Macaca mulatta: one gene and its partner. Each later gene encodes a partner of the first gene's protein in a complex. Links are inferred from orthologs where the notes say so. Each region holds a gene or a part of one and is shown in the gene's direction. Other genes may lie near its edges.

Region 1 (3,576 bases):
ATATAAAAAGGGTAGAGTAAAAATACCATATTTATAGTCTGTACGACCTCTGTCATGCATGCAGTTCTGCAGGTTGTCGCTATGGAGGGCATGACTGCATTTGAAATTTGCCAGCATTCCATGCCTTAGGAATGATAAGATGCAACAGCAGTCAGAAGATAAGCCTTTGGGGCAGGGGGGTAAACCTTCATTTTAGAACAGCCTAAGTTTCTTGGTTTAAATGGCTTATGCATCATTTTTTTCCACTCATATAGCCAGGGAAAGAGGTAGAAAGTACTCAACAAGAAATTGATTCCCGAAGTTATTCAAGAGTCAAGTTCCGTGATTCTGCACGAAAAATCAAGCCTAAACCCCAGGTGAGAAATCTTGTCTTTTTAAACCATTTGTTCGTTTGTGCTTTTTACAAATATCCAATGAGAAATGACTACAGGCCGGGTGTGGTGGCCCGTACCTGCAATCCCAGCACTTTGGGAGGCCAAGACAGGCAGATCGATTGAGCACAGGAGTTCAAGACCAGCCTGGACAACATGGCGAAACCCCATCTCTACAAAAAATACAGAAATTAGCCAGGCATGATGGCACATGCCTGTGGTCCCAGCTACTTGGGGGGCTGAGATGGGAGGATCACTTGAGCCCATGAGGTCAAAGCTGCAGTGAGCCATGATTGCGCCACTGCACTCCAGTCTGGGTGACAGAGTGAGACCTCATCTCTAAATTAAAAATAAATAAATGACTACATACACAACCTGACTCCTGTTGCCATGCAGTCTGCAAGAAAAAAGTATGAGAAGTGATTCCAACTTTCATACTAGCTGGACAGATCAGAATATTGCCTGACTTGAGGAAGAGGGGGTGCATGGAAAGACAGGAAATGTTGGTGATGAGACAATTTGTTCAGCTCTGAAGTTGCCCCAGCTTTCATTACAGGAAAAAAGGAGAGTACTAACTCAAAAAGAGAAACAACAAAAAAAGGTCATTTGTTTAAAAATTTCTGTATTTCTCATAATAAAACAAAAAACTATCTCAGCATTGGCTGATAAAACAATAAATCCACTGTTTGTCATTTTAATAACCTTATCTAAAGTGTTTACTACTATAAATAATATATTTATGTACTTATTGGAATGTAAATAATTGCTGGGTTTTTTTAAAAGTCACTGATTAGAGTTACTATTAAAGGAGGCCTCCCACTGCCTGTGGCAGGTATTAAAGTTTATTACCAGTAATCTCACACCTTTAACTAAGACAGTATGCTTCGGAGGCCTGGAATACGCCTGATCCCATTAGCATCAAGCCAGCTGTCAGTTAATTGTGCAGAGCCCATTACAGCTTATAAATGGGAAATTGCGATTTTGCTCCTTGCTTTTCGTTAGGTTCCACCTGGCTTCCCTTCTCCAGAAGAGGCCTACAACTTCTTTACTTTCAGCTTTGATCCCGAACCAGAAGAATCAGAGGAAAAGCCAAAAGCAAGACATAGAGCGGGAACTAATCAAGAGGAGGAGGAAGGGGAAGAAGAAGAACCACCTGCACGAGGAAGAGGAAAGGAAATGGTATTTAATATCAGGATGGTAATGTGTGGGTGGAGGGCTAGGAGGAAAAGGGTGATATACCTGCAAGAAAGAAAGTGGCTGAGGAGAAAACCCACCACCACCAGGAAAATGACACTCCACATGAGTTGAAATCCCAAGTACTGAATTCACATGGCTCCCTGTGCTCTGGGTTAGACCCTACAATGTGGTAAGAAGAACCTTGATTAAACCTGTTTATCTTTCTTTTGTGAAAAAAAAAATTAAATAATGTGGCTTGTGGATTTTTCTTGCTAGACTCCACAAAATGATTAGTATTTATTCCATGTGCAAAGTATGTTCCTCTGCAAGGCAAATGAAACCTCAGTCTCTCTCTTATCGAAACCTTACAAAGTAAGCAGCTTTTTGTGCCCAAACACCACACCCAGGCTGCAACTCAAATTCTGCAACTGTGGGTGGTATGTGTGAGATAAAAGGAGAATATACCATTTAAAAATGGGCAAAGGCATTGAATAGACATTTCTTCAAAGAAGGCATGCAAATAGACAATAAGTCCATAAAAAGATACTTTACACCATTCATCATAAGGGAAGTGCAAATCAAACCCACAATGAGATACCCCTGCACAGCCATTAGAATGGCTCTTATCAAAAACAAAACAAGTGTCATAGAGGATATGGAGAAATTGGACTTTGATGCATTGCTTGCAACCACGTAAAATAGTGCAGCTGCTGTGAAAAACAGTATGGTGGTTCTTCAAAAGTTAACCACAGAATTATAATATGATCCAGCAATTCAATTTCACTCTGTGTATATATCCAAAAACATTGAAGACAAGAACTTGAACATATACTCGTGCATCAATGTTCATAGCAGCATTATGCACAAAAGCCAAAAGGTAGAAGCAACCCAAGTGTTCATTGGCAGATAAATGGATAAACATAAATATACAATGGAATAGTATACACCCTCAGAAAGCATGGACATTCAGACACATGCCACAACATAGATACACCTTGAAGACATTACACTAAGAAAAATAAGCCAGTCACAAAAGAATAAATATTCTGTGATTTCACTTATATGAGCTACGTTGTATAGTCAAAATCATAGAGACAGAAAGTAGAATGGTGGTTGTCAGAGACTAAAGGAAGGCATCAAAGTTGTCATTTAATGGGCATAGAATTTCAGTCTGGGAAGATGGACAGATAGTGGTAATGGTAGGACCACAACGTGAATTTACTTAATGCTACTGAACTGTTCACCTAAAAATGGTTAAAATGGGCTGGGCGCGGTGGCCTGTAATCCCAGCTTTGGGAGGCCGAGGAAGGTGGATCACCTAAGGTCAGGAGTTTGCGACCAGCCTGGCCAACATGGTGAAACCCCGTCTCTACTAAAATTACAAAAATTAGCTGGGTGTGGTGGCAGGCACCTGTAATCCAGCTACTCAGAAGGCTGAGGCAGGAGAATTACTTGAACCCGAGCAGCGGAAGTTGCAGTGAGCCGAGATCGTGCCATTGCACTCCAGCCTAGATGACAGAGCAAGACTCTGTCTCAAAAAAAAAAAAAAAAAGAAAAAAAAAATGTTAAAATGGTGGACTTTATGTTATATATATTTTACCACATTAAAAATAATGAAAACACCCTAGGATATTCTAGTATTCGCATAATTGGCTTAATTCTCTGCTTTGCTTATAATCTCCTCCTTTGAAAAATGCCTCCCAGAAATGCACTTCTTTTACCTAGATTTATAGAAGCTCAGGAATATTTTAGCTTATACTATAACAATCGTTCTGCAAATCAGCATTCAGCTCATTCAGTGTTGCTTGAGTGTCCTCCTGACATGACAGCTAACTTCCCAAAAGCAAGTGATCTAGGAGAGAACCCAAAAAATAAGCCACACTTCCTTTTATGACCTAGTCTCAGGAGCCACACACTGTCACTTCTGCCATATTCTACTCAGGAGAAGCAAGTCACGAGGCATAGTGCACTCTCAAATGGAGGAGAATTGGGCTTCACCTGTTGATAGAAGTCTCCAGTTGTGAACATC
Region 2 (4,273 bases), on another chromosome or scaffold:
CCTCCACCTCCCGGGTTCAAGCGATTCCACTGCCTTAGTAGCTAATCGAGTAGTAGTAATCGAGTAGCTGGGATTACAGGCACGCGCCACCACATCCGGCTAATTTTGTATTTTTAGTGGAGATGGGGTTTCAGCATGTTGGTCAGGCTTGTCTCGAACTCCTGACCTCAGATGATCCGCCCTCCTGGGCCTCCCAAAGCGCTGGGATTACAGGCGTGAGCCACTGTGCCTGGCCCGCGTATCCCTGTTTGTAGCACCTATTATCTTACGGATTTATTTGTTTGCATGTCTGTTGTTGATCTCCCTGACTAGAATACTATTACTAGGTAATAAATAAATATATAAAAATATTTGTTGAAGGAATGAGAAATGCCTCTTGGGCTTGTACTTTAGTCTGGCTAAAGGCACTGAGACGTCGAGTGGGAAGTAGGAAGATATTGTTCTCCTGGGAAATGGGCCGGGAGTTTCCTTGAGGATGGGACTTGACTGAGCAATTAGAGAAGAACTTTCAGATCTGCAGGGACCTGCGCTGAGGCCCAAAGGTCATGACGTCGCCGGTGATAAGAGCTTCCTGGACTGTAGCTGGGCAATGTCGGAGGTCCAGCACCTCCAAGAGATAAAGAAATCTAAGTTGAGTTTCCCTTCCCGTAGGCTCCAAGCCTCCCAGAGACGCAGGGACTGTACCATTCCCTTCGTCCACTCCCACCTTTCCAGCCACCTTGCTTTGCTCTTATTCCCACGCTAGTTTAAGGACGCTGACCACTTTTTGCACTCTGCAAATCCTTCACCAAACTGAGCAAAGTAGTCTGAGAGAAATCAGTCTTCCTCAAGGAAGGTTCAGGCCTAGGGTCCTCAGACAACCAGGGGCTCTGTGACAATCTGTAACTGCCGAGCAGTCCAGGAACACCGGCCTCTCCACGTTCGGGTCCCTTGTTTCTCAGGCCCAGCTTGGTGGGAAGTTAAAGGCATGAGGAGAGGAGGAAGGGGAGCGGGTGTGAGTCTTCGGCATGGCGGGGACCTCAGCCCGGCGTGGCGGTGGGAGTGATCTCAAGTGATCCACAACTGGGCAGCGTAGCTGGGGCTGGGGGCCGCTCCCGGCGTGGGCAACCGCGGAAGCAGAGGTGTCCCCAGGCTAGGCCAGGGTGGGTTTCCGTTCGTCGGCCCTGCGTGGGCAGATCGGGCGCTGCGGGGCTGTGCCACCCCTCACCCTCTGAGAAACAAAGGGCCTGGCTGCGCACGGGTACCCAGCCATTGGGTTAGAAGCTCCTTCGGGTACCCCTGACCTGAGTTAGCCCTGAAAGACCCACAGCAGATGGAGAATGTACTGCTCTCGCGAGGTTTTCCGAGAACGCGGCAGCACGCCCGCGTACGCGGTTACCAAGGCAACTGGGCGGTGCCTGAGCTGGCGGAAAGGAGGAGTTCGTCTAGATTTGTCCGCTTGCTGGTGGACTTGCGGGAGTCGCAGTCTCTGAACTTCCAGCCTCAGAGACCGCCGCTCTTGTTCCCAAGGGCCATGGGCCGGGTCTCAGGGCTTGTGCCCTCTCGCTTCCTGACGCTCCTGGCGCATCTGGTGGTCGTCATCACTTTATTCTGGTCCCGGGTAAGACCCACGGCTGCCCTCCGTCCGCCCCCATTCCCATCTCGGAGTCGTCCCCGCCCCACCCTGCCCCTCTCCCAGTGTCTTACCCACTTGGGTTTTCTCGTGTTCCGCCGTCCCTAGGCCTGCCCAGCAGCCTGCCCCTTTTTCACTTCTCTTCCTCTCTGCCCTGCTCCCAGGACAGCAACATTCAGGCCTGCCTGCCTCTCAGGTTCACCCCCGAGGAGTATGACAAGCAGGACATTCAGTGAGCTCTTGGGACGGGGTGGCCAGAACGAAGAGGTGGTGGGAGTGGAGGGGTCTTAGAAGAAGTCCAAAGGCCTGGGCCAGTCCACTTCCTCTCTGCAGGCTGGTGGCCGCGCTTTCTGTCACCCTGGGCCTCTTTGCAGTGGAGCTGGCCGGTTTCCTCTCAGGAGTCTCCATGTTCAACAGCACCCAGAGCCTCATCTGTATCCTTTCTGCCTGCCCACCTTTCCCACACGACCCATTTCTATCAGGACTCCCTTCAGCCACCTGACACAATAGTGTCTGCTGTAGCCAGTCTCTCCAGTTCAAAGATCTTCAACCATGTGCTAAATCCTGCTGTTTACTAGGCACTTAAAATTCCGAAATGAGAGTAAAATACAGTTTTTGGCCAGGCACGTTGGCTCACGTCTGTAATCCCAGCACTGTGGGAGGCCCGCGCAGGAGGCAACATAGTTAGACCCCGTGTCTACAAAATAAATAGTAATAATAAAAACTCCACTTTTTTTTTTTTTAACCATGAGGAGGTAGATACACATCTGTAATTCAGTGTGATAAGCAGTGTGCTATGGGAGTGTGTAAAGATAGCACAGGCAGGGTGCGATGGCTCACGCCTGTAATGCCAGCACTTTGGGAGACCGAGGCAGGTGGATCACCTGAGGTCAGGAGTTCAAGACCAGCCTGACCAACATAGTGAAACCCTGTCTGTACTAAAAATACAGAAATTAGTCGGGCGTGGCGGTGCACTCCTGTAATCCCAGCTACTCAGGAGGCTGAGGAAGGAGAATTGCTTGAACCCAGGAGGCAGAGGTTGCAGTGAGCCGAGATCGTGCCACTGCACTCCAGCCTGGGCGACAGAGCAAGACTCTGGCAAAAAACGAAAGATATAAAGCACATTGGGAACTCAGAAGAGGCAACGGAAGCCAGGCACATGGGTCAGAGAATTGTGGACCAGGAGGACCAGGACACTGGAGGCTGATTCCAGCGCATATCAAGTCGCTGTCAGCACTCCTGTGTGGCATAGCAGGAGAGCCTACTCTTACCTCTCATCTGAAGGATCCAGGCTGGCCCCTAGATATGGAGTAGGGTAGCCTGAGATCCCATCTGCGCAGTCACTTCTGGTCTCTCCTCACATGACTGTCCTAAAATTCAGAAGTCGGGGATGCTGACTCTAGCCCTTGCAATATGGTGAGGGAGCAAACGATGAACCTGAATGCAGATGCCAACCCCACCACTGGCCTTTGGCCTTTTCTGACCCCTCACTATCTGTCGATCCAAAGACTTTCCTTAACTGTGGTGCCTTCTCAAGCCATTGGGGCTCACTGTAGTGCATCCGTGGCCCTGTCCTTCTTCATATTCGAGCGTTGGGAGTGCACTACGTATTGGTACATTTTTGTCTTCTGCAGGTGTGGTAGCATCCAATATTCGGGAATGAGGGAGGAAGGCTGACCCTAAACCTGAGGGTTTTTCCCCTACCCAGCCCTTTCCTCTATGTGGGAGATACCAGATCCACTTAACATCCTGTAGTCTTTTGAATTTTCATTCCCTACCCCATGCCACCTGTCCTACACTTTCAGGGGTGGGGTCTCTGGTTTGGAGATTTGGGTATTTATATTGAACGGGTTTCTGAATCTACCACTTGCCTCGGTAGTGCCCTTCCAGCTGTCACTGAAATGACTTTATTCGTCACCGTCTTTGGGCTGAAAAAGAAGCCTTTCTGAGCACCTTCATGACGGGAACCTAAGGACGAAGGCTACAGGGGCAAGGGCCGCTTCGTATTCCTGGAAGAAGGAAGGCATAGGCTTCGGTCCTCCCCTCGGAAACTGCTTCTGCTGGAGGATATGTGTTGGAATAATTACGTCTTGAGTCTGGGATTATCCGCATTGTATTTAGTGGTTTGTAATAAAATATGTTTTGTAGTAAGATTAAGACATATACAGTTTTCAGGGCACAATTGAAATGGCGAAACTACTGAAGAAAAAAAAAGAAGCAACGTTATTTTCTAGTTCTGCAGACCGTAAGATACTTGGTATCGCTTCTATTTTGGTTATTACGGTAGTTGTCTGGCGGAAGGGAGTGGGCGGAGATATGTAAATAGAAAGTGCTTACAGTTAGAACGTCCAGCACGTAAATGATCGGAGCATTCTGGGAAAAAGAAATTTATTCCTTTTCGGCAGCCGAACGAAAAAATTCTTTTAAAAATGTGCAAGCAAATATGGCAATACAACTGGAAGGATGCTAAGTAGTAGGGTTACTTATACCAACGCGTCGTGAACTCACCCTAGCTGTAAACGGAATCTTTTTGACTGAGTGCGGAATGTCGGCTATTTAGAAATATCGTCAGGTGGGATAATCCTTACCTGTTCCTCTTTTGGAGGGCAGATTAGAACATGATGATTGGAGAATGCATGAAACGTGATTAACGTCTCTGCG

The links.
Region 2: CC2D2A (region 1) and TMEM107 share a complex: the UniProt entries of both Homo sapiens proteins name them as parts of the tectonic-like complex. The link is inferred for Macaca mulatta from reciprocal best matches to the Homo sapiens genes CC2D2A and TMEM107.

Annotation. Positions count from the first base shown.
Region 1 is NC_133410.1:14,561,652-14,565,227, forward strand, and holds part of CC2D2A (coiled-coil and C2 domain-containing protein 2A), read left to right. Parts: intron 1-254; coding exon 255-356; intron 357-1,373; coding exon 1,374-1,550; intron 1,551-3,576. UniProt on the Homo sapiens protein: Component of the tectonic-like complex, a complex localized at the transition zone of primary cilia and acting as a barrier that prevents diffusion of transmembrane proteins between the cilia and plasma membranes.
Region 2 is NC_133421.1:9,692,335-9,696,607, reverse strand, and holds TMEM107 (transmembrane protein 107), read left to right. Parts: upstream 1-1,421; 5' UTR 1,422-1,513; coding exon 1,514-1,600; intron 1,601-1,776; coding exon 1,777-1,844; intron 1,845-1,927; coding exon of another isoform or gene 1,928-1,945; coding exon 1,946-2,046; intron 2,047-2,883; exon of another isoform or gene 2,884-2,982; intron 2,983-3,149; coding exon 3,150-3,246; intron 3,247-3,491; coding exon 3,492-3,561; 3' UTR 3,562-3,816; downstream 3,817-4,273. UniProt on the Homo sapiens protein: Plays a role in cilia formation and embryonic patterning. Requires for normal Sonic hedgehog (Shh) signaling in the neural tube and acts in combination with GLI2 and GLI3 to pattern ventral and intermediate neuronal cell types.